Linked DNA regions of Caenorhabditis elegans. The protein of the gene in region 2 interacts with the protein of the main gene of each other region in a pairwise test. Each region holds a gene or a part of one and is shown on either strand. Other genes may lie near its edges.

What was found.
Region 1: the proteins of M163.1 (region 2) and C13G5.2 interact in a two-hybrid assay, tested with the Caenorhabditis elegans proteins (one large-scale study listed by BioGRID).
Region 3: the proteins of M163.1 (region 2) and lron-5 interact in a two-hybrid assay, tested with the Caenorhabditis elegans proteins (one large-scale study listed by BioGRID).

What each region holds. Positions count from the first base shown.
Region 1 is NC_003281.10:8,614,645-8,622,386, forward strand, and holds C13G5.2 (uncharacterized protein), read right to left. Parts: upstream 3,819-7,742; 5' UTR 3,795-3,818; coding exon 3,750-3,794; intron 3,705-3,749; coding exon 3,612-3,704; intron 3,361-3,611; coding exon 3,268-3,360; intron 3,215-3,267; coding exon 3,149-3,214; intron 3,105-3,148; coding exon 2,639-3,104; intron 2,590-2,638; coding exon 2,374-2,589; intron 2,301-2,373; coding exon 2,224-2,300; 3' UTR 2,130-2,223; downstream 1-2,129. Other genes in the region: C06E1.11 (uncharacterized protein), read right to left, coding at 805-1,193, 1,251-1,566.
Region 2 is NC_003284.9:14,500,647-14,507,107, forward strand, and holds M163.1 (uncharacterized protein), read right to left. Parts: upstream 3,179-6,461; coding exon 2,729-3,178; downstream 1-2,728.
Region 3 is NC_003281.10:4,618,671-4,628,025, forward strand, and holds lron-5 (LRRCT domain-containing protein), read left to right. Parts: upstream 1-4,358; 5' UTR 4,359-4,381; coding exon 4,382-4,675; intron 4,676-4,963; coding exon 4,964-5,239; intron 5,240-5,427; coding exon 5,428-5,670; intron 5,671-5,830; coding exon 5,831-5,940; intron 5,941-5,983; coding exon 5,984-6,224; intron 6,225-6,279; exon of another isoform or gene 6,280-6,382; coding exon 6,383-6,855; intron 6,856-7,033; coding exon 7,034-7,149; intron 7,150-7,197; coding exon 7,198-7,415; 3' UTR 7,416-7,498; downstream 7,499-9,355. Other genes in the region: lips-3 (Lipase), read left to right, coding at 2-102; pfas-1 (putative phosphoribosylformylglycinamidine synthase), read right to left, coding at 252-668, 812-1,023, 1,069-1,124, 1,173-1,311, 1,549-1,642, 1,696-2,078, 2,154-2,277, 2,366-2,536 and 4 more.

The DNA.
Region 1 (7,742 bases), on a different chromosome or scaffold from region 2:
AATGAGCGAAAAATTCAGTAAAATGAGTTTAATGCAAGTGCGCTCTATCGAAATTGAAAATGTTTTAATGGCGGAGATTTGAATAAAGGTTTTCAGTGTAGCAAATTTTAATAAATTTCAATGTATTTGGAACATCTGTATTTCAATGTATTTGGAACATCTGTATAGTTTTTGACATGTTTCACATGTAGTTCTGTACGAATCATATTCTGCTTGATCCATAACAGCTTCTGCTGCTTTACCACTACCATATCCACCACCAACTCCACCTGTGATACCACCCACAATCCCTCCAACAATAGTTCCAATTCCTGGACAAATTGCAGTTCCAATTGCAGCACCTTAAAATATTCAGCTTCTTCAAAATTTCAGATTTAAATGGAAAGAACACCTGCAAGTGCTCCACCAAATCCAATACCGTACGTGGCTACTGTAGTGGTCACTTTCTTAACAGTATTCCTACTTGTCCCTCTCCTTTTATCTTTTTCCACGTTTTTCCCAATTTGATAAGCATCGTATTCAACTGCAGCAACTTGTAAAACTGGAGCAGCTTGCGCGATCGTTGTGAGACCCTCTCCGCCAATTGTTCCAGCTGTTTGAGCTCCAGCTGATGATATGTGAACTGCTGCACCAGCTGGATCTTGAGTTAACTAAATTGTTTCTGTGAGCATTGTTAATAATTGTTCCATACCATGTTCCCTTCATCTTCTTTCTTTTTCTTTTTTCTCTTTTTATTTCTCTCATTTGAATTTTCATCTGCACTTCTTGCCATTTCAATTTGAGTGTTTGTTTTCTAGAAATAATTTATTTATGATTCAAAATCTTGTTGAGACACGCGAAAATGTGAAGATAATAATAACAAAGGTAAGAATTAAATGCATAATTTGAAGTTTGAGATGGACTTTGAATCTTTTCCGCCAAAATTGCACATAATTTGGTAGCAGCGTCGTTGCTCAGAACAATTTGAAGTTGGCAGCTACAAACTCCTTGTGCTTCTTCGTACTTCTTCCAATCATAATCTTTTCCACATTCTTTACAGGTTAACGTTGTGACATCATATTTCACGTGAGTTAGAATTTGTTCTGAAGCTGTCTCGGCAACATGTCCACCGAATAATCCCCCGGCAATTCCACCAATGATTCCTCCGAAAATCGTTCCAATACCAGGAAAGATTGCCGATCCGATGGAACTTCCTGTAATAAAGTTTTTGTAAAAAATTCTACTGAATCTTTTAAAATTACAACACTTACCGGCCAATGCTGCAGCAGATGCACTTGCATAAGTTGTCGCCGTGGTTGCCACTGTTTTTATAGTATTTCGTGTGGTTCCGTGATGATAATCCTTCTTAACCTCTTTTCCAACTTGATACATTTCGTAAATCACAGCGGCAGTCGTCAAAATTGGAGCAATTTTATTTGCTTTCTCAGCAACATCTCCAAGAACTCCAGCAGTTTTGGCAGTGGAGAGATAGGAAGATGTGGATCCTTGAGTCCAGTAACTGCCTTGTTGATGTTGATGTGATGGAAATCCACTTTTCCATGAGGGCGATCGAATCTGATCCACCATTTCGGATTTCCGCGAGAAGATATTTTAGTTTTGTCGAAAATGTTCAAAATATTTGATTTTCTACCCGAGGTTTTAATCAAATATTTGACCGCATTTCTTCTTATTGCAGTGACGCCTCCTTTTATTCCATATTCAGTCGGATTATTCAGAAAATTTGAGTATTCAATTTTAACAAAGAAAAAAAGGTATATGTTCAACTTTTATAATTCTTCTTAAAAAAAGATTCCTTTTTAGAAAAGGAGATTTTAAAACTCACCGATTTACCACTTTGATCATTTGTTGTGGGTTTCCCTTTATTGTCGTTTGAACTACTCATATTTCTGGAAAATGTAAATTTAGCAAAAATAATGTGCACAAAATTGAAAAGTGTTCGCAGACCGAAAATCGAAAGTTGCTATTTTATTTAGGCTGAGCTAATAGACGTTGTCCAAAAGGATTACACACTATTGTTTCTCACATTTCGTCGTCTCCGTTCTTCAGATCGCCGATAATTATCGATTATTCTCTCACGTGTAAATATTTTCAGGAAATATTTGGCACACCACACTATTAATGAAATGTCAATTTAAACTAAATTTCAAACAATTTATTAGCTTATGGGTGCCAAAGTGAAAATGTGAAGATAATAAGAATAAGAGTGAAAATCGAATATCGGAATTAAAAATCATGATTTGTTTCGAGCTTTTTGAACCAATAATCCACGGAATCCTGCCTCTTGTTGTTGAATCTTGTACCTGAAAAAGTACCAACTTATGATTTTCGAAAATGCGTTTTCCATTAAAATTGTTTTATCAGAATAGCACTCACAACAGGTTCCTTCAATCTCTTGATACTTTTTCCATGTGTATTCTTCATCACATCCATCACAAACGAACGTTACAACGTCCCATTTAACATGATTCAACGCATTTTCTGTTGCCACGTGACTGTAGTGACCACCAAAATGTCCACCAACAATTCCTCCGACGACAGCCCCGAAAATCGTTCCTAATCCGGGAAAAATTGATGTTCCAATCACACTTCCTGTAAAAAAACAATTAAATGAAAATAAAAACCGAGTAGAAATAAATACCAGCATAAGCTCCAATGGATCCACTGGAATAAGTTCCACTCGTCGCAGCCAATGTTTTGATTGTATTTCTTGTCGTCCCATGATTCATATCCTTGTGGACTTCTTGTCCAACTCGGTAGGCTTCGTAGATCATTGCCGCTGTCGTGAGCAGTGGCGCGACATCATTTGCTTTTTCTGCAACTTTTCCAAGCACTCCAATAGTTTTGGCAGTAGTCGGTGTGAGTGGAATATGAGGATCCTTCAGTCCAGTCACTGCTTTGTTGATGTTAATGTGATGGAAATCAACATTTCCATGAGGTCGGTCGAATCGGATCCACCATCTCGGATTTCCAAGGCTCGATTTGTTCGTTTTGTCGAAGATGTTTAGAATATTTGATGACCGTCCGACTGTACTGATCACGTAGTGACTCGCATTTCTACTCAGTGCAGCGATTCCTCCTCTGAAGCCGTGTCCAGAAGGTTCCAGCTGAAAAGACAAAAAAATACTCTTTTCAGAAACAAAAGCGTTACCTCTTCGTTTTCTTCCGATGAGCTATCATACCAGCTTCTTGCATTTTTCGCAGCTTCAGAAATAGCCTACAATAAAAAGTATATGTTTGAAAATTATATTTATTTACAGGGTAACTTACCGATGTTGCCGTTGATGCAGTTTCCGAATTCCAAGCGGAAGTTGCCGCTTCTCCGATCGATTTCGTGGCAGACGTCGAAAAATCCTTCACGGTCTATAAACATTTTTAATGAGAATTTTTGAACAATTTGAATTTCATATTTCGCTTTTTTTTGCAATAAGAAAAAGAAAACAACATTTAAAATCTATTCATTCGTTTTTTAAAATTATATTTCAAAAATAATTTTTTTAATTACTGTAATTACTGGAAAGGCAAATTTCTCTGAGAAATGCCTCAATACGAAAACGCATTTTTGTTATTTCTATTTTCGATTTTTTTTTTCAATGAAAATTGTATATGCTGACCGCTGACGTCGATGCGGCAAACTCCGAGTTCCATGCAGATGTGGTGGCATTATTAATTGATGTAGCGGCAGACGAAGAGAAATTTTTCACGGACTGCAATAATATATTATCGTTAATTGTAATAAAATGAATTATTACCGTCCAATATCCATTAACTTCGGGCTTTTGTTCGTCGGAGCTCATTCTGAAACAAAATTCATTGATGTTGAAAAATAGCTTTTCAAAGAGAGAACCAAATGTGTAAAAATCGATAACAACGAGGGGAGAGACAAAATGAAATTGTGAAAGTTAACATTAGCAAGGTGAGATCGATTCAGGTCGTTTGATGAGGTGCAGATCAACGAATTAAATGCAAAAATAATGTAAAAATTGTTTTAAAAGCTATAATTTTAGAAAATCAGCGAGCAAACAGGAAATCGAAGAGAATAATTGGATTAAAACCCGAAATTTTCTTTAAAATTTTCTACAGTAATCTTAAAGGCGCATATACCAAACTGTTCCGCGTGGCGAGACCCATCCAAAGAAATTCGTCTCCCTCCTTCTTAATTTTGACAAGATTACGGTTTATATTTTCTGAATTAGTATTAAAATGTTAATTCACTTTTAAATGAAATTTGATTTATAAAAAGGCCTTTGAAAGCTTGTTGTTCGTTTGATAAAACAACTTTGAATTGGGATTGATGAATGAAAACTTTAAAAATGAAAAACCAAACGTCCGGTTTTCAAGCCTGAGTTACTGTAGCTTCTTTCTTAAAACATATTAAGCTCCCTGTATGTTTATTTACTTTTACCTTTTCCTCGCCGCTTTCATACTTATCTCGTGAAAATCAAATTGTTGAAAATTCTCAGTCATTCCCCGTCTCCTTTTTCTTATCCGCCTTCATTTTAATTAATTGTGTTGCGGCAAATTGGACTCAACAAATCAGTTGCCTCAATCTGAATGCCCCGTTTGACACAATTAAAATACCTATTTTGGCGGTGCGGTACGTGTGAAGATTCTCTCATTAAAGGGGAAATAACATCCAAATCGCAAGGGAATGTATTCAGATTAATATCTACCGTATCGATCCGGAGAGAGACGAGCATTCTGCATGTTAAAATAATTGAAAGGAAGGTTATGGTGGATGATTGATGAGATGTTTGAAAATGGTGAGATGTTTGACAAGAAGTTGCGCAATGTTTACGTTGAGCTTGTCCATATTATACGTCAAGCCGGATATGACACCCAGAGGATCAGGATTACTGTAGTTATTTATATTTGCAGATTTTATTAGTGTCTCACACGTGGATATATAGCATGGATATTAATTTCAGAAACAAATAATAAAATATGTGTTTTTTTTTTCAAAAACGCATTCAATTTGGGTTTTTTAAAAATTTCAGTCAATCTTTTGGTAAATTGCCAAATTGTCCAAAAATGTAGACTTTTGAGAAGTATCGAGCAATGCTACAGGTTCTAACTACTGGAATTTTCATACAAATATTTGAAACGCAATTTCAGTTAAAAAAAATTATACCACAAGTTTTTGGCCGACTTCCAAAAATTATGATCAGTGAAAATAAACTTAACAAATTTCAAAAAGTTTTACTATGAGATTTGGGTGTTTGAGCAGTTTCGGAGTAGTTTTAAACAATTTCCTTACCAAAGATACACCTTCAAAGGCGCATAAAATGTATTCGAAAGGCCTCGCCACGAGAAAAAAATTCTGATACCGTATTTCTTCTAGTACGCAACTACGTTACTTTGAAAGGATATATCTTGGTTCGTTTAAAAAATATCAATAAATTTTAAACTAAAAAATGTAGAAAAACATATAGCAAGTGTTTTGTTTTGTCAGTTGACCGTTTTTCAATAAAACAAATACCAACTGATATGAGCTGTCAAAGTTGAGCAATGGGGTGCAATTGGTACTTTTTTTTCGAATTTAAGATGCCAAGATAAAGGATAACAACAAGCGCTCGCCATAAAAATTAAAGCTCCAATATAAACTATTTTCGTGGCAAGACCCACACGATTCAGATTGTAAAGTTAATATAATATATCCTCCTGAATCCGAGACCCTTCTCCCTGTAAACTATTCTTCACTTATCCATGCACTTCCAATCTGCAAAATCTCGTCATCTACATCATTGAGAGGATTGTGATGATGAATAACGGTTACGTGTCATCGACCGTTGCATAACCTTTCCTCGCCTACCACTGTCCTCTCATCATCATGATTTTATTACCATAACATTGACTGGTTTATGCTTCATTTACGGCTGGATGCGCGAAATCTGTCTGAGTGAGACAATTGACTGATTTAAGACTGTTTATCAGAGAAGTGTAAAAGAAGGAAAAGATAAGAGAATGATGATATATGTAGGTGAAGAATCTGGATATCTGTTCTAGAAAATCGAGGTTGTTACGGTAGTTTTTCTGTAGGCCGAGATTTTTGTAATATGACTAATCTTCTTCTCGAATATTGAGACTTAAAAAACACAAAGAAAAATTGAATAATAATTAAAATGTTGTTTTTCTTTTAAGTGTTGTTTTTAAATTATAATAATACACTGCAATTGAATAATTCTAAGAAGGCCTTTTTATCAAGCAAGTCAAGATGCACCATGTGGTCTTCCAGATGAGTTACACCAGCCTTGTAGGCAGGCAGGCACGCAAGCATATTTCGATGTAATAATAAGAACGCTATGAAAGATCAATCAATTGTCATAACTGAACCAATCAGAAACATTTGTGTTCTACCGTATCATACCTGTTCTCATCCAATTAATGAAAAGATGCGCCAATTTGTGTATATGACACCCTTCTCCTTTCTATCAAAACTAATTAAGGGGAGGCCGAAAAAGGGGAGAAATGACTTGCCTCAAATGTTGAATATTCTTTCTTCAATTGAAAAATATAATTGAAATTTAAGAGACTCTCCTGATGATCATACAAAAGATCTAATCTTGAAGCGGCCCGTGCGAGGGCTCGACATTGCTGTGTCTCTCAAAAAGGTACGGTATTTCTGTGTTTCACTGTCTTTGAAGTGTTGAAAGGCCCAATTTCAGATGACAATCTTCGTCTTTTCCCCCCTTTTTGCTGTCTTACTGTCTTAATCAATTTGCCGTTTTTTTTTGTTTGGCGAAAGTTTTTACCGCGTTTTCGGTTGATTGGAGGTAGAAAGTTATTATTGAATTTCAGTTCTTCAGGATGACAAAATTGGGTTACGGTAGTTGAGATTACTATATGCACCTTATGATTTGCAGTGTTAGCAAGAGTTATAAGAAAAAGTGCTCAAAGTTGAACTTTAGATTAAATATTCAGTTTTGAACTTCACACATTTTCACAGTTGGAGGGACACCTTTCTGCTGTACTTTGATAGTTTTCTATGGAACTTGTGCAATTCCCTGTATATTTTTGCAAACATATGTCGGCGTTAGTACCTCTTGCCAAAAATTTGGCAATTTTCTGCCAAGCTTTTACATTTTTTCAAAACTCTAGTTACTTCCTTCCAAAATCTTGCAACGCGGTGAATATTTGGATAAGAAGGAGATGAAAAGGGCTAATTGAGCGTGTCATCTTGACAAGTAAAGTAAGTATGTGTCAAAGCGGGAGGGAATACTTTAAAATTAAAATTGGGGGCTCTATTTCTCTATCTTCAAAGAGGTGAAAGTGACGGGCGGTCAATTTAATTAGATTTGATACTGGTTAGAAAGGAGGTGGTGAAGTAAAAATAATCAAGTAGGTAAAAAAGCAGATTTACATCCACTTTTTCCCATTAGTACTACTGATAAAATAGAGGCAAAGCCAAATCTTCAAACCAAATTTTTTGCGGTTACCAGAGATCGAAAAAGTAGTGACACGTGTTTGACTTTTGTTAAACCCTTGAACACATACATATTGCGTTGCATCTCCTTATTACATAATGTTTAATTCCCATGTTATATTACGCAACTTTTTCTATCCATCATAAACTGGAGTGATGCCTTTAGCCTACTTTTTTGGGCTCAGACCAAAATTTTAAATCGTAATACTTTTGGTTGCAACAATGAATTTTTAAGATTGACCGAAATTTTCTAGCTCGGCACTCAATTTTTTATTCATAATTTGTAGGAGGATATGTTTTTATTGAGGTATACGGTTTTAAA
Region 2 (6,461 bases):
TCGCAACGACGTCATTTTTCGCATCATCTTATCAGTATTCATTTTTATATCATATTGTTTCCTATTAATTCAAATGGAAATTTAAATTCAAATCTAGAAAATTTAGTTTTTTGTTTCCAACTACCTGTCAATCTAAAAAATTTTAAATATAGCCGCTTATTGTCTATAGAAGTCTGCTTTTTATTACCACTTGATAAGAACTGATTGTGCTTTACGACATTTGAATGGCATGCGGTAGACGGCGTGATAGTAAGAGTAAATTGCATTTTGCAGCGCCGATAGCTGATTTGAAATTGAAATTTCGGTCTCAAGTAATGAGCGGAAGTCACGTGATATATGTGCTAAAAAGGAAATTTTAGAAGTGAAGTAGCGGTGGTGACGGTATTTTTTTTTTTGCAAAAAGTGTTCAATTACCCATGGCACTAATCTTCATGTGACCGATGACTGTGTGTGTTTGTGCTTCCTTAGTGGCGCCAAACTTTTTATTTGGGTATGGGAATAATATTCGAATTTCCGTCTGAAGTGGTTGGCGGCAGCGCCAGAAAGTGGAATTTGATTATCTGAACATAAATATAATATCAATGAAATGAAGCATCGGAAGAAGTTTTTTTGAAGAAACTTAGGCTTTCACGCAAAACTGAAAGGGAAATTTTTTACAGTATCTCAATTTTACAGATGTTTAATTAGTCACCAGTTTTAAAAATAAATTTCAAGGTTCAGTAAAACTATGATTACTTCAAAAAGTATGAAAAGGACGTGAAAATTGTTGAAGGTAGAGTACGGAAATCTGGGAAATATTTTCAAATGACTCCAAATTTTCCCCTGATTCCGAATATCTATATGAAACAATTTAAAACAATTATCCTGATTTTATATTTGAGCTTGAAATCACGATTTTCATTTACGTCCCCATGAGTTTTTCAAATGTGCGCCGAAATAAATTATCCGTGAAGCGCATTTACCTCATTTAATTTTCTCCATTTATTTTTAATTTTTTCAGTTTTTAAGCAATTTTCACTTAATTTTGTCGCATATTATCGGATTTTTTTTTGAAAAATATATTCTTTCGTGCCGATTGAACATTGAAAAAAGTAAAAATAAATGGGGAAAATTAAATGAGGCAAATGTGCTCCAAGGATAATTTATTTTGGCGCGCATTTGAAAAAGCTCATGGGGACGCAAATGAGAATCGCGATTTTAAGCTCAAATATAAAATCAGGGAAATTTTTTTTCAGATATTCGGAATCAGGGAAACATTTGGAGTCATTTGAAAATATTTCCCAGATTTAGGTACTCCTCTTAAATCTTTAAAGGATCTCTAATTAACACACGATTTCTGACCAGGAACCAATTATTCAGATAAAATATCCGACGTCAACCTGCAATTCAGCCTGCAAACTAAACCTTGGCATGTTGCCAACCAATACACATCGTGACACCCATCTCGACTGTTCCCGTTTGCAAACCCGCTGTTTACATTTTATGCAACTAAATTTTTGATCGTCGGCATTGTTGTTCTGCTCGTTGAGGTCTGAACTATTTCCAACCGCATGATACGCCGTATTGTGTTGTCGAGATCAAAAAGCCACGGGACCGCTAGGCAACCTGTCAAAAGGACACGGACACATGACTGTTTTTTGACCTAAACTGCCAGACATCTCCAGGAAACGTCAAGATCAAAGTATTCTCAGACGACTGCGTCGTTTCAAATTTTTTATTGTAAGAAAACAAATTGTTTTGAATTTCTTGTCCTTTTTAGCACGTGACAAAACATTTTCTCAATAACTTCTTATCAACATATCAACCTATCAATCATCTTGTGACAACTGTACAGATAAATGTATACCCAAGGTTTATTAATATTATCAGTTGAACCACAAAGTGTTCAACTATATTTCTACATCGTTGTAGTATTTTGTTTCCATATTGAGGAGGAAAGATAGGAGGGATGAGGGGGGAGAAATGGACATCTATACAAAATGCTAATCACAAAAAGTTATCATCGTAGAAACTATGCGGAAGTGTATGTATCTCATGGTCATAAAAAAATATCATATTCAATTAAGGGGTGTGAAAAGTGGAAGAAATAAGGAGAAAAAGAAGCGACCCAAGATTGTGGTTTGTGTGAAACGAGCTATTCAATGTGCAATGATTATGGTAATGTGAGGTGATTCGGCGGGAGTCCGATAGAAGAGAAATTGAAGGTGGAATCCGTGAGGTCAACTTTGTCATTGAGCACACACGCTCACAAAGTGCAGGAGGTATCAGAATACAATTGAGAAGAGTGAGAGGGAAGAGTTGAACGGGGATATTTAGAACGGGGAAGCAAAAAACGGGAGAAAAATGTGATTGGCAATGGTTTCTTTCATTGTTGAGTTGAGTGACGGAAATGTTTTTGGCTTTGCTTTAATTGTTGACGAATATAATGCAGATACTGGGGAATACTGAAAAAAATCGTTTAAATATTTGAACTATGCTTACACAAGTGTTTTCGTCATCAAAGAAATATGTTAAATATACGGAAAGTCTCTTGTTACATTAAATATTCCTAGACTAATATTGCATAATGTATGCTCCCACCATTTGCATGGTCTCAGAATACAAAGTGTACTTAGATGTCGGAAGGCCCTCTTGTGCATAAATCGCCTGTCAACGCCGACACTGTGTACCAATGCAGTAATACTACTTGTAACAACAACTCACCTTGTTAGAGAAAAAGATAAATGACTCATTTGAGTACAAGATGAACGTTCTCAACGTAGCTGATCAGTTGCCGTAACTTGCGCTCGTTCTCCGCCAGCAGCTGTTCAAAGAGGTCATCATTCATCTCGGCAATTTTTTGCTGTGTTATCGCCTCGTCATTGTTTCCGATTTGTTCGTTGACGTCATTCTCATCTGGCTGATTGTCGTTTTCGCTTGTCTGTTCGATCTCCTCGATGACACCTCCTGAGAAACCGTTTTGCATCATGATGAACTGATCCTCTGCATTTTCGGAATGATGGTTCTGCTGAACGTCTTCATCTTGATCATCATCAAACTGAAACTGTTGCTGATGATTCCACCGGTAGTAGTTGTCTCTCCAGACTTGTTGATCGTCGCGATTACTGTATGCAATGTTGATCGGAGCTGACTGCATTCGCGAAGAAGAGCTCAGAACCGGCTGTGGTTGACGAGCCATTGTGAATTGATAAATATGAATGAAGGGGGACCCAAGCTGGAAAAGAAATACAGTTAAAGAGGCGAAAAAAGGAAATTGAATCGAGAATTGGATCCTTGCAAAAAAGAAAGTGGTACGAAAATCTGATAGCAAGAAGACGGTGAGTGGGGTGAGTGGGGCGTGAGCGCAGACACATTTGAAACTGCACGAGACAAAAGGTCACATGTTTCAGTTTGTCTCAAAGATCGATTGGGGCTAAAAATAAGCTGATAAGCATATGAAAGATGGTCTGATGTTTAGAGCTATTCAGTATCAAAATATCAAATGGCAACTGCAAAAAAGGATATATCACGGATGAGAGGGGGGAAAGGGAAATGAGGAAAAAAAAGGAAATCATTTGTAAACTACTGATAATGATGGCTGAGTCTTCTTGTCTCACCATCTGGCAACATGTGTTGCTATACCTTGACCCCCTCCCCACAATTGCATTATCAATTGGAAGGCAGAATAAAAGAGAAAAAGCGAGCAGAATGTGCACACACACTCACACACATACACAGATTCATACACTCAGTTACATACTCGTATACACACCCTGATCGGCGGCGGCGGCCCGCACCATCACCAAACCACTGTGGCATGGGGTGGGGGAACTACTTGTGGAGGGGAGAAGAGGGCAGGACCCCGTCCAAACGAGACGAGCCAATTGTCAAGGACAAAGGCGGACGTTGTGATCGGACGGCGGGTGAGGATGGAGGGTGTTTCTCTGCGTCTCGTTCGGAAAAAATGGAACTGTTCGATTGCGGAGCGGCCGAAGTGATGAACACGAAAAATTGAATAATGGGGCAGGGGGCGGAGCTGTGGGTGGTACTGGCAGACGTATAGTTTATCAGCAGCAGTTAACGGCTGTTTTATCAGGTGCACAAAAACGTTTAGCACAGTTTTTGAAAAAGTAATCAGGCAGATGCTGATGTGGTCTCATAGAACTTCTGTGGAATCCGGTACAAGATAACAAAAGTTCAGACACATAGCACTATCAAGAGTTGAAGTAAATTTTTGATTTTAAAGTACTTGTACATATGTTCATTTTTAAGGCTTCAACTTACAGCATAGTAACTTTTTGAAATTTTAATTAAATATTTTTTAATTCGAAATTTCCTATAAGATAACAGTACAGTTGCATTTTTGAAAGCTTTTCTCAATTTTTGGCCCGCAACTGGAATAAATATTCAGATTCGGAAACTTTTTGGCTTCCTAATATGCCCCGCATGCTGCTGATGCCCCTTTCCCACCCAAATTTTAAGAAAGCATGGTTTTCATAGCGTTTCACACTGCTTCTCACAATTTTATCGCGCAGATCGTATCGCTGTTGAACGGTTTAGCCGTCTCTCAACGGGCCACCTATATTCTGACTTTTTCGTCCAAATTGCTTTTTGCTTTTTAACGATAGAATTTTCAAGAGATCCAGTGAGATAAAAGTGTGAAAAAATCTACAAGTCCCGGCTGATCTTTCATCGGGTGGTCCGCGGGAAGTAAAAAAGTGCAAAGCGGTAAACAAAGAAGATCAGAAAAGTGTGTAATTTTGACAAAAAAAATTGCGAAGAACAGCTGAGGCAGACAAAAGTACCAAGAAAGTACCAAAGTTTATCAAAAAAAAGCTTATGGGGGTTCACGGTAACTTTCGAGCGTCTCAGGGTAAGATTGTGCAGCGTTCGCAAAAAGTAAATTTTCTCTCTCTCTCTGTTCTCCTCGAAAAAAAATCGAAAACCAGTAACGAGTTCTTTCAAGTGGCAAGATGACAAATAACTCGCCCATATGCCCTAAACTTGCACTTTTAAATTAGTTTATAGAGTTTGTGCTTAGCTGAGCACTGTGAGCTTGTATGTTTTGCTGAATATAAATATAACTTTTTGTTGAAATATGATAAAATGGTTGTATAAAAGAAGAGAGAAAGAACAACAACAAAAAATTTATGTGTCAAAAAAAACTGAACGGGCGCTGCGGAATATGGGGAAGAGGGGAAGAGGGAGGAATATCGAACACAATCGTTGGGAATGATGTTTGCTTTTCTTCATGACGGCGCTCAAAACACAGTCTGCAACATTACCAAAATCTGGCTCTAATGAAGGTGCACCAGGGAAGACCCATAAAATGATTATCACTCGCTTACTCGTTGTGCCCCTCACAGAGTTTCGTGCCCTCCCACTTTTGCGGGCAATATTTCGAAAAGTTTCGTATTTTTTTCTCGCCAGAGATAAGGCAGATAGCAGGAGCGTGTCAGAGAGGCCCGACAGATTTTTTTTTCATCTCCGTCGTTTTCTCTCACTGCCTCTCGGTCAACAACCACACGCAGCACACACACATACCCCCCAACACACGGGAGTAGTGAAAGACAAATACAGACCGAGACTCCAGACGGGAGACCCCCCCCCCCCCCTCTCCTCAGATACCGTCCGTTGTTTTTGGTGGTGGTGGTGGCAGAACAAAAAATTGAAAAGAGAGGGGAGAGACGGGGAGCGGAGAAATAAGAACAGCAGCCGAAAAACGAACAGATTGCACGTTTCTCTAATATTTTCTAAAAGTTAACAGTTCAAATTGTGTGTTGAGAAAAAGATGGGGATCTTTAAAATCTCAAAAAAAATTACCTAATGCCTAACTTTTACAACAGGTAAAAATTTGGTCGTTGTATAATTTGAGCTAACAAGGAAAGGTTTTCATTTTACGGTCAGACTTCAAAATGACATATGTGTCATTTGAAAGTGTTCCATACGAATGTCACTGCAAAATTTTAAGCGGCAAAGCTCTACTCTCAACCCCAAAATTTTTGATCTGAAATTGTTTCAGTGTATTTTTTCACTACTTTGGAGTATAATTGCTCCAAAAGTTTTTTGTGCAAACTTTCAATGTTTTTCAGAACGGTTAGAAGTAGGTAAATATTCTGAATTTTTTTTCATTTTAATTTTTTTTTTTTTGAAAAAAATCTGAAAATTTCTTCACTCCACTCGGCACAAAATTTTTTGCAAAAAAAATTTGAAAATTTTCAAAAATGCCCCAGAATGTTTACCTATTTTTTCTGGAAAACATTAAAACTTTGCACAAAAAAAATTTGCAGCAATTCTACAAGCCTGCGAAGTAAAAAGTGCACTGAAAGAATTTCAGATCGAAATTTTTGGGGTGAGAGTAGAGCTTTGCCGCTTAAAAGTTTGCAGTAACATAACCGATACACATTCAATTGATACATGTCTCGTTCAGTCGAAGATGAGAAATGAAATATGTGAAACGCTCAAATATATTTTTTTTCTAA
Region 3 (9,355 bases), on a different chromosome or scaffold from region 2:
GGAATGAACGGTCGCTGGATAAGTGATCGTAATGGCCACGTGGCAATGAAGGATCTCACAGAATTGAGACAATTCGAAGCAATTGTTCATCATTCGATTTAAATGGTTTATTATGTTTCAAAAACGGTTTTTTCTTGTTATTAATTTATTAATTTATTTGCTCTTGTTGAATACGATTGTCTGTACATTTGGGTTTCCTTGCAATAAAATATTAATTTATTTTAAAACAACTTCCAACTGTCAAAGAATATTCAAAGACACCAATTATATGCATTTCTAAACATTTTGATCCATGGGGAAAGTGCCACTGTCTTTTGATCGAATCTTGCATTCCATGGAACCTCACTTGACTCCGCCCATTGCCACGTCAAGAATGATCTGTCAGCATGTGGCATCATAGCAAGATGACGTCCGTCCCGACTACAAATAGCTGCCACGTCATCAATGGATCCATTGGGATTCCATGGGTACGGTAGCTTCACGGATCCATGATCAGCGCCAGTCATTCCTCGATCATCACAAAAACGAATACAGACTTGACCATTTGTCTTCAGATTTTGGAAGTTTTGAAGGTTACGGTAGGTGAAGCGACCCTCTCCATGAGAAGACCAGAGGCCGAGAACGGAGTTTTCCATTCCGGAAAGCATAATGCTGACGTTTTTTTCGATCTGAAATTTTGTTTTTGATAAAGAGGAGAAAATTGTTTCGGTTCAATTTTTTGCGAAAATCGAAATCCTTAGAATTTCAAAACGAATTAGCATAGTTCCAGAAAAACTCCAAAACTTCACAGCCCTTCATTTGGATTACTCACTTTAACTGGCCCAAAACTGCTATCAAATCTCCCACATTCGTTTTCATCCAAAAAAACAGTAGGCCCTTTCTGTTCTTCATCCCCAATCCATCCCAATTGAGCCATCAACTGACATCCATTACAAACTCCATATGAGAATGTGTCAGGTCTCGAACGGAAAGCTTCGAATTGCTTTGAAACAGACTCGTTGAATTGAACACCGGCAGCCCAACCTGAAAAATTGGTTTTACTGAAATAAAAAAAAAAATTCTAAAAACCTTTCGCAGACCCCAGAACATCAGCATATGAAAATCCACCCACAAACGCGACACCTCTGAAAGAATAATGGATTGCTAAAAGGATTTGAAATTCTCAGGAAAACCTGTAAGCTTCCAAAGTGTGCCCAGCCAAAATATCAGTCATTGTGACATCGAATGTTTGGAATCCAGCAAGAGTGAATGCAGAAGCCATTTCTCGATCACCATTCGAACCTTCTTCACGGATTATAGCGACTCGTGGGGCTACAAATTTCCTACTTTTATTCGTTTCATCTTCAGAAATATTTTAATTTTAAATTTCCAACAAAAAACTGTATTTTCAGAAATTTCTAAAAATTTGCAAAACGACATTTTGTCGGAGGTTTATTTTAAAGTCGTAGGCAGTAGGCGGATAAACTTCCCAATTATTCTGATATAATTTTATTCAGCACTACAAAAGTTCAAAATTAAAAAAAAATCTGAAAAAGTAAAAATACAAACCTGTAGAAAAGTACTGCTCATTATGAATAAACGCTGGATTATAATACCAATCAAAATCACATTTATAATTGATCTTCTGACATGTTCTTCGAACCTAAATCATACATCTTTAAACTTAAAACCATTATTAAACTTAAAATCCCAAACCTCTCTTGCTTCCTTCAAACTCTTGGGATTTGTCTGAAACTCTCCCAATCGATCTCCAACCAATTCCCATTCTTCTCTCAAATCAACCAGCTTCTCATTGATTTCCAAATGACCATTCACATGGATTTTTACGTGGGCATCTGGACCAAACACGGCAGATGCTTTTCCAATTTCTTGGCATTTAATTCCAGCTTCAGAGAATATGTGCAGAACATTTTCAGGATTAGAAACTTCCAAAAGTATGCCACATTCTTCAGCGAATAAAATATCGATAGGCTTGATATTCTGGTTGGGGGGCTTGATATCAATATCAATAGAAACATTTCCAGCAAATGCCATTTCCAGAATAGCAGTCAAGAGTCCTCCATCCGATATGTCATGTCCTGAAAGTTAGATAGTTTGGACGGACAGTTAAAACAAAAGGCAGATTCAATAATCCATAAAAGTTGTGATGTTACCTGCCAAAATAATTGGTTTTCTCAAAGGCCCTGCCAGCTCTTCTCTATTCAGTAACTGTTGAACAATTGAGAACACTTTAGAAATTTCCGAGAAGTTCTCAATATCCGGACAGTCGTCTCCAATCTAGAAAATTAATTTATATTTCTTCAATAAATATATTTTGCCTATATGAATACATATTATCAGACTAGAGAAAATGAAAATCTCAAACCTGTGAATAAACTTGTGCCAGTGCACTTCCTCCAAGCCTCATTTTCTCTTCGGAACTTCCAATCTTGATCCACAAGATTTTTGAACCGGGAACAGCTTTCAGCGATGGATTCACAACTTTTGTAACATTTGTGCAAGGAGCATATGCGGAAAGTACAAGAGTACCGGGACTCTGGAAGATTTAATTTTAGATTTTTCATTACAGAGCCACCAAAATTGGCATGACACGAAATTGAATACGTTTGGAAAGAAACCGAAAAAAGTTCTCAGCCGAAATGAATTTAAAATTCTGTGGCATTCTTCTCGTATTTAAGATGTGTCAATTATTTCCTAGTCAACTAGAAAAATGTGCTCATCCAAACCTTGACCACTTCTCCATGGGCGGTCACCGCCATTGATAACGAATCTTTTCCTCCGTCAATCGCACATCCAATCTCACGAAGTCCACGACAAAGAGCTCCAACAGCATCAACTAAACGAGCCCCTTCTCCGTCACATTTTGCAGCCCACATCCAGTTACCCGACATTTTTACGTCCTTCAAAGATAGTAGTAGTTTTTGGAATTTGCTATAAAAATATATAAGAAAGTGTACTTTTAAATCGGTAATTGGTGCCCAAATGAGGTTCATTATCGTCTCCGCAATACACATTCGGGCTCCTTTTTCAGCGTCGATTAGCATTTTTATGGGTTGTTCGCCAAGAGACACGGCTCCACCAACCTGCAATTTTGACATGAGCAGTTAAGTCTTTTATTCTGAAATTATTGTAGATGCGGCAGAAAGTTAACGAAGTGCGCCAGAAATCTTCTGTGACTGGGCAAGTGGCCAGCCAGTAAATTCTTTGTTATGTTTTCCTAAAGATCGTTCGAAACTTCTCTGTAATGTGGAAAAGGTTTTATACAGCTTTGTACTGGTTTTCAAAAGCTTATACCTTTTTGAGTTTTTTTTTCATATTCTCGGTCATATAGCAAGCAAATGAAACTACGTCTCCCGAATTTTGAAAATCCCTTTACATCTTTTTGGAAAAGTTCCCGATATCGAAGAAAGAAAAACTTGACCACCATTGTTTTTTCTCGGACATGGCGCAAAAACCGACCTGTACGACAACGTGCAATTTTTGAACTTGACATCATTTACCCCATTCAATTTAGTTAGGGTCTTTGAACTCTTTTTTTCAACTCCCCCCATTTTGCTCCTTTATTTCCGGAAGGCTTCTCATTTTCCGGGTGGCTCCAAAGGGCTCACTGATGCATAAAATGTGCCATTCTTTTCAGTTTTCCCCCCTCCTCTCAACTAAGCTCAAACTCTTTCGTTCTTCAATTGTTTTCGGTAGTTCTTATTTTAGTAGGACCCCCCGTTTTCTCCAAAAATGTATTCACACAAGGCTTCTAGTACAACAACTAAAAATCCAATTTTCTTCTCTCTTTGTTCGTCTTCTAATGTCTTTTTGATTCCTCTTTTTGCTTTCCGAAATTTTTTGGACGGATTCCGACGGCAGAAGCGGGAAAGAGAGAAGAATTTGATGCAAAAATTGGATTCCGGAAAAGAAGACGGAGAAATATTTTGGCTGTAACATCATCAACCTAATGAACTGCCATTGTTGCCTGAGCAGAATGACAATGAAAAACGTTTGGTTGATTGGCTTTTCCATTCTTTTTTTTCATTTTCCGCTTGTTAAGCTCTCGTTTTTGGAATTCTTGGACATTCTAATGAGTTTAATAGTATTTTCCATTTAATTTCTGTTATTTTCCATTTCTGTTTGAATTTTCCGAGAAACTGATGCATAGAATTAGGCTTAAGCTTAGGGTTAGGTTTAGGCTTAGGCTTAGGCTTAAATTCAGTTGTTCTCCATTACCTATTAACTCTCAACTTTCCATTTTCCTTGTCCGTTAACACAAGTGATTCTCACTTTTCCAATCTAATCACGCCCTCTTCTTTTTTTTGGCTCCAACGACTCCGCCTCCTTTTTTGTGCTTCACCAACAACTATTGTTGCAGCAGTCAGTCAGTGAGACAACCATGCACATCCTCATCATATTGCTCTTTACGAGCATCATCTCATCGATTCAAGCAGATCTTTGTGCTCATTGTGATTGTGATTTTATATCTCATACAGTTGTATGCAACCGCCCGTCTCTTTTAATTCGAACAGTATCGATGCTTCCAACAATTCGACAACTTCATCTTAATTCATTGAATCTCCCACAACCACCTCATTTCTTATTTCATCCAAATCTTCGAGTACTTCGGATGAGTCGATGTGGAATGCATGAGATTCCAGGAAGTACATTTTTACCACTGCCAGGTTTGGAGGTAGGCAAATTTCTTGAAGGCCTACATAGATTTGTTGGTGTTAGTTATGTGTAACCTGAGTTTTACAAACTAAAACATTATAGCGCTTGATTTTTATTTTTGCAAGCTCAATACAAGTTGAGGAAAACCTTAGTTTGAGAAAGAATGCCGGACGTTGTATCAAATACAAATAAGTAGGACTTCAAAAAATATTAGCGTATCTAAATGTAGCTGCAGACTGCAAGCTATACAATTTTGAATTATTGAAACTAAACAACGAAATATTTCAAAAAATCTGTAAAATTTCAGGTGATCGATCTCTCAAACAATCATCTAGAAACTCTTCCACCTACAGTACTTCGCAGTCTTAAATTTCTTCGAGTCCTTATACTCAGTAACAACCGATTATCAAATCTGGACCAACTCACATGGATTCTTGCACCGGGAGTTGTTCTTGAACAATTAGATTTGTCTGGCAATCCAATTGCAATTGCAACATCAATGACTGTTTTTCCACCTGTTCGACAGCTTTTCCTATCCGATACAAGAATGGAAAGTGTGAATGAAACTGCGATTATGTTCAAGGTATTTTTGATTTTCATAAACTATGTCGCAAATAAGTTTTGTGCGAAAATTTACAGAATGTGCTAACTGACACTACAAAGTTAGACAATCTAGTGCTGAGAATCTAATTTGTAAAAGTTTTCAAGTACATCACCACTCAAGAAAAACTACTACACTACCCGAACTTTATATGTATCTTAAATTTCCAGAAACTCCCCGGAAAATGCGATAGAGATGTGTGCCGTCACATTCCAATTCACAATTTGAATGTTTCAATTATCACTACAATTGATTTTTCATCGAATCGAGATTTGGAAATCGATTCCGGCGCATTGGATGTGTTTTCGAATGCAACATACGTGGATTTGAGTAATACAAGATTGCCAGTTGGATTTGAGGAATGGTTGGAGAGAAAGAGTCGAGTTAAAAGCTTAAATATCAGCCACTGTCAGGTAAACTCCTTAACTTCTTTCAAACTCGAAAATAGAATCAATCAATGGAAGCAGAAAAACAAAGATATACAGGCAAAAAGTAGGCGTGTAGGCAAGAAAAGGTGCCTACCAAGGTCACAATAAAAATAACGAATCTCGATAATACTGTGCCAATTTCCAGCTTCCCCTTCATGAAGACACTTGGACCGCATGTGGTCAATTTCTCCATTCTCTCGATATATCCGGAATCGGTGCAAAACGACTGAGATTCTCAAGATTTTGCCCAATTCGGTAATTCCTTTCCCAATTCCTTCAATACCATCCTAATTTCCAGATCAGTATTTGCCCGTGATAACTTGATATCCTCCGTGTACATTGACGCTGTTTCCATGGAATCTTTGCATTTGGAGAGAAACATGTTTAGTGAATTCCCTATTCCACCACCAGGTGTTGAGTTGACCGAGCTTCATACATTGGGATTGAGCCATAATTTGATGACATCGTTGCCTCCGCATGCTCTTCAATCTTACCCTAATTTGCAACATTTCGATGTTTCAAGCAATCAGTTGAGCGAGGTTTGTTTAGGAATATTTTTGAAAAATTAAATAGTGTCAGCAAATAAAAAAGTGTCTACAAATAAAAAATTGACGCTATTCTATTGTGTGCAATTCTATATGTGTTGCCCACCAAGCAGCTGAGCATTTTCATAGTTTGAAAATTCTTCATATTTCAGATAGATCCTCAAGCCTTCCCATCAATTGGACTAGGACTGATATCACTTGATTTAAGCTCCAATCAACTATCTTCTCTTCCTCATCCAATTCTTCCATCCCTGCTACTGCTGGATCTTTCCTTCAACACAATTTCTCATTTGGATCCACATTTCTTTACGGGACTTCCAATGCTTCAACAACTTCGAATCGCTTCAAATCCCACTCTATTCTCCAGATGCCCAAATCGGGATTCTCCGTGTTGGAGTGATCATTTGGATGAGCTTACTTCACTTGTTGATTTGGATATTTCGAATTCAGGATTAGAATTCTCTCTTCATTGGAGACATTTGAGAACTCTAAAGTCACTGATTCTTCGAGGAAATGAAATTCGAATTATTGATTCAAAATCACTTCCAGAGAATTTGAGGACTCTGGATTTGGGCGAGAATCGAGTGCAATTCACATCAAACTTTTCGAAGTTGGAGCATTTGAGGTTAGTCGGGAAGAACTTTTTGACCAGTTTAAGTAATAATAATAAAAATTCCCATACGGTTCCAGTATCGTAATTTTGGAATTCTATAAAACCGTTAAGTCAGCTCAAAAAACCAAGAGGTATTAGTGGGACACGAGTACTAAAATTGTAATTTGATATTCATGTTCTCAACTTTCAGAGATTTACGAGTTGATCAAAATCCTCTCCGATGTGATTGTTCCCTGTATGACATTGTGCCACATCTTCTAAATCAAAGTCAAATATCTGATCCACTACTCTATTATTGCTTCTCAGGTATTTCAAGATTAACTTAAACTATAAAGAAAAAACAATTTATTACAGGATCCTGGCAATATCCCCTACTTCCGTATCTTGCGTCAGTAAAGCCATGCGTTGACACAACTCGTAACTTTTATTCAATCCTAATAACCACATTTATCATCGCATTCGCCATTGTGGCAGGACTCATTGGTGGTTTCCTAGTGTATAGAAAGTATGCGGATCGAGCCAATTTTGTGTACAAAAGGATATCACTTATGGAATCGCCAGTCAGATTATAAGTTCTTTATAATCTATATACGTTATTTTGAAACGGGTTACTTTATATTATCGATGTTTAAATAAAACTGTATGTATATCATGATGATGGTACAATATCCGACCTTTTAAGTAGTGGTACATCATTTTCGTGATGCGCACATCGTGCTCGGTCCTCGATTACAATGAGCCCACGAAGGCACGAAGGACACACACCCACGAAGGACACACACACACACCACACACACACACACACACACACACACACACACACACACACACACACACACACACACACACACACACACACACACACACACACACACACACACACACATTATTTTCAGAGACTGACATTCCAATTTTTGTGGAGGAACAAATCTCTGATCTGTTCTCCTAAACAACTTGATTGAGGTCATGACAAAAGTTGGATCTTCTCAAAAATGTTGAAAGCTGCATAATCAGAGAAGATTTGTCATCGGACATGTCAGCAGCAATGCGACTCGTCCATTCTTCCATTCAAAACTTGTCCCCGGGGAAATCGAAAACGGAAATCTGACACGAGAGAAGAAGTCCCTGCTCTTGCTCTCCTTCTTTTTTGCAACAAAAGGGTCCGACTTGTTGACTGTTTACTTACGACCCGCCATGGTTCAGTTATAAATCTGATTCTAAACGAAAAAAAGGGGAACAAGAAGACGTTTTTTTTCAGATTTACACACTCATAAATTGTATTACAGAATTTGTGTCACACAAAAATGAGTAGCAGTTGGGTTGAGACGACGAAAAACTAATTTCCGACTGAATAAAACGAACGATGAAAACATTTTTTGTTGGGGTGGGTAAACATGTATCGGGATTCGTAGATTGTTTTGTTAAAGAAAAAGTTTCTGGAAAATGGAGAAATGCTTAAAATGTTGGTACTGTAATGGAAAAATTCTTTTAAATTTGAATTTTCTTGGTTCCAGTCTGAACTTGTTTGCCCTCTAGAAATTAATTCCAAATGACATTTTTTGACGGTTAAAATACTTTTGGTTTTTTTAAAGTTTTTATACACCTTCCTTTAAGGTTACTGTACTTGAAAGAGGAAACTACTTAAAATTGCTACATAAGATAGTAAAACTTTGTGGAGCTTTAAAGTTACTTTACAGTTATACTTGGTTAATTTTGTTCAAACAAGTTTCTTGAGATAATTGCCTGATTTCATAATTATTCTTAATCTGAATTGGACAAGAATTTCAATAAACCTAACCGTATCAAAATGTGACAGAGCCACGACTGCTACATCAGCAAGTGGGGTGTGTAGAGGTCCAACACATTGCTGTTGAGCAACCAATCCAGTTACAGATCGGTCTACTTTGCATGTCAAATATCTACAAATAAAATTTTATAATAATTTTTCTAGTTCAGAATTACCTTTTGCTAGCAACTGAAGGCAACATCAAAACTCTTTTCAGAGCTTTTCTTACTGTCAGATTTTCTGGTAACTCTAGTTTCTTCAAAACCCTCGGGGCACTTTTCAACTTGAACACCTTCTTTTCTCGTTCTCCAAGTTGCCGGGTATCTAGGTCAACTGCAATTTCACCAGATTTCCCAAGGAGCTTGACTCTTTGCTCTTTTTCTACTTCTCCAACAACTGACACATGACATTTTTCGCGTTTGGAAATGGTTTGGAGAGCATCGAGAAGTGATGCATCTACAAGAGCTGCGTCGTTTTCCTGCAATTAACCTAGAGATGGAAATCTGGAACAAAAAAAAATTGACTATGAGTTGAATGTTTATAACAGTTTTTTGCATAAAGATTTTGAAACTCAAAAAAAAGTCATAGCTTTAAAAAGATTTAAATCGGGGTGCACGGGTATTGCTGTTTGGAAATTGCAATTTTGGTAGATGCCGGGGGGTAACAAAAATTTCAAATTTTCATGTATTTTTTGGCAAGACATTCTTTGGTTGTAAATAAAGAATT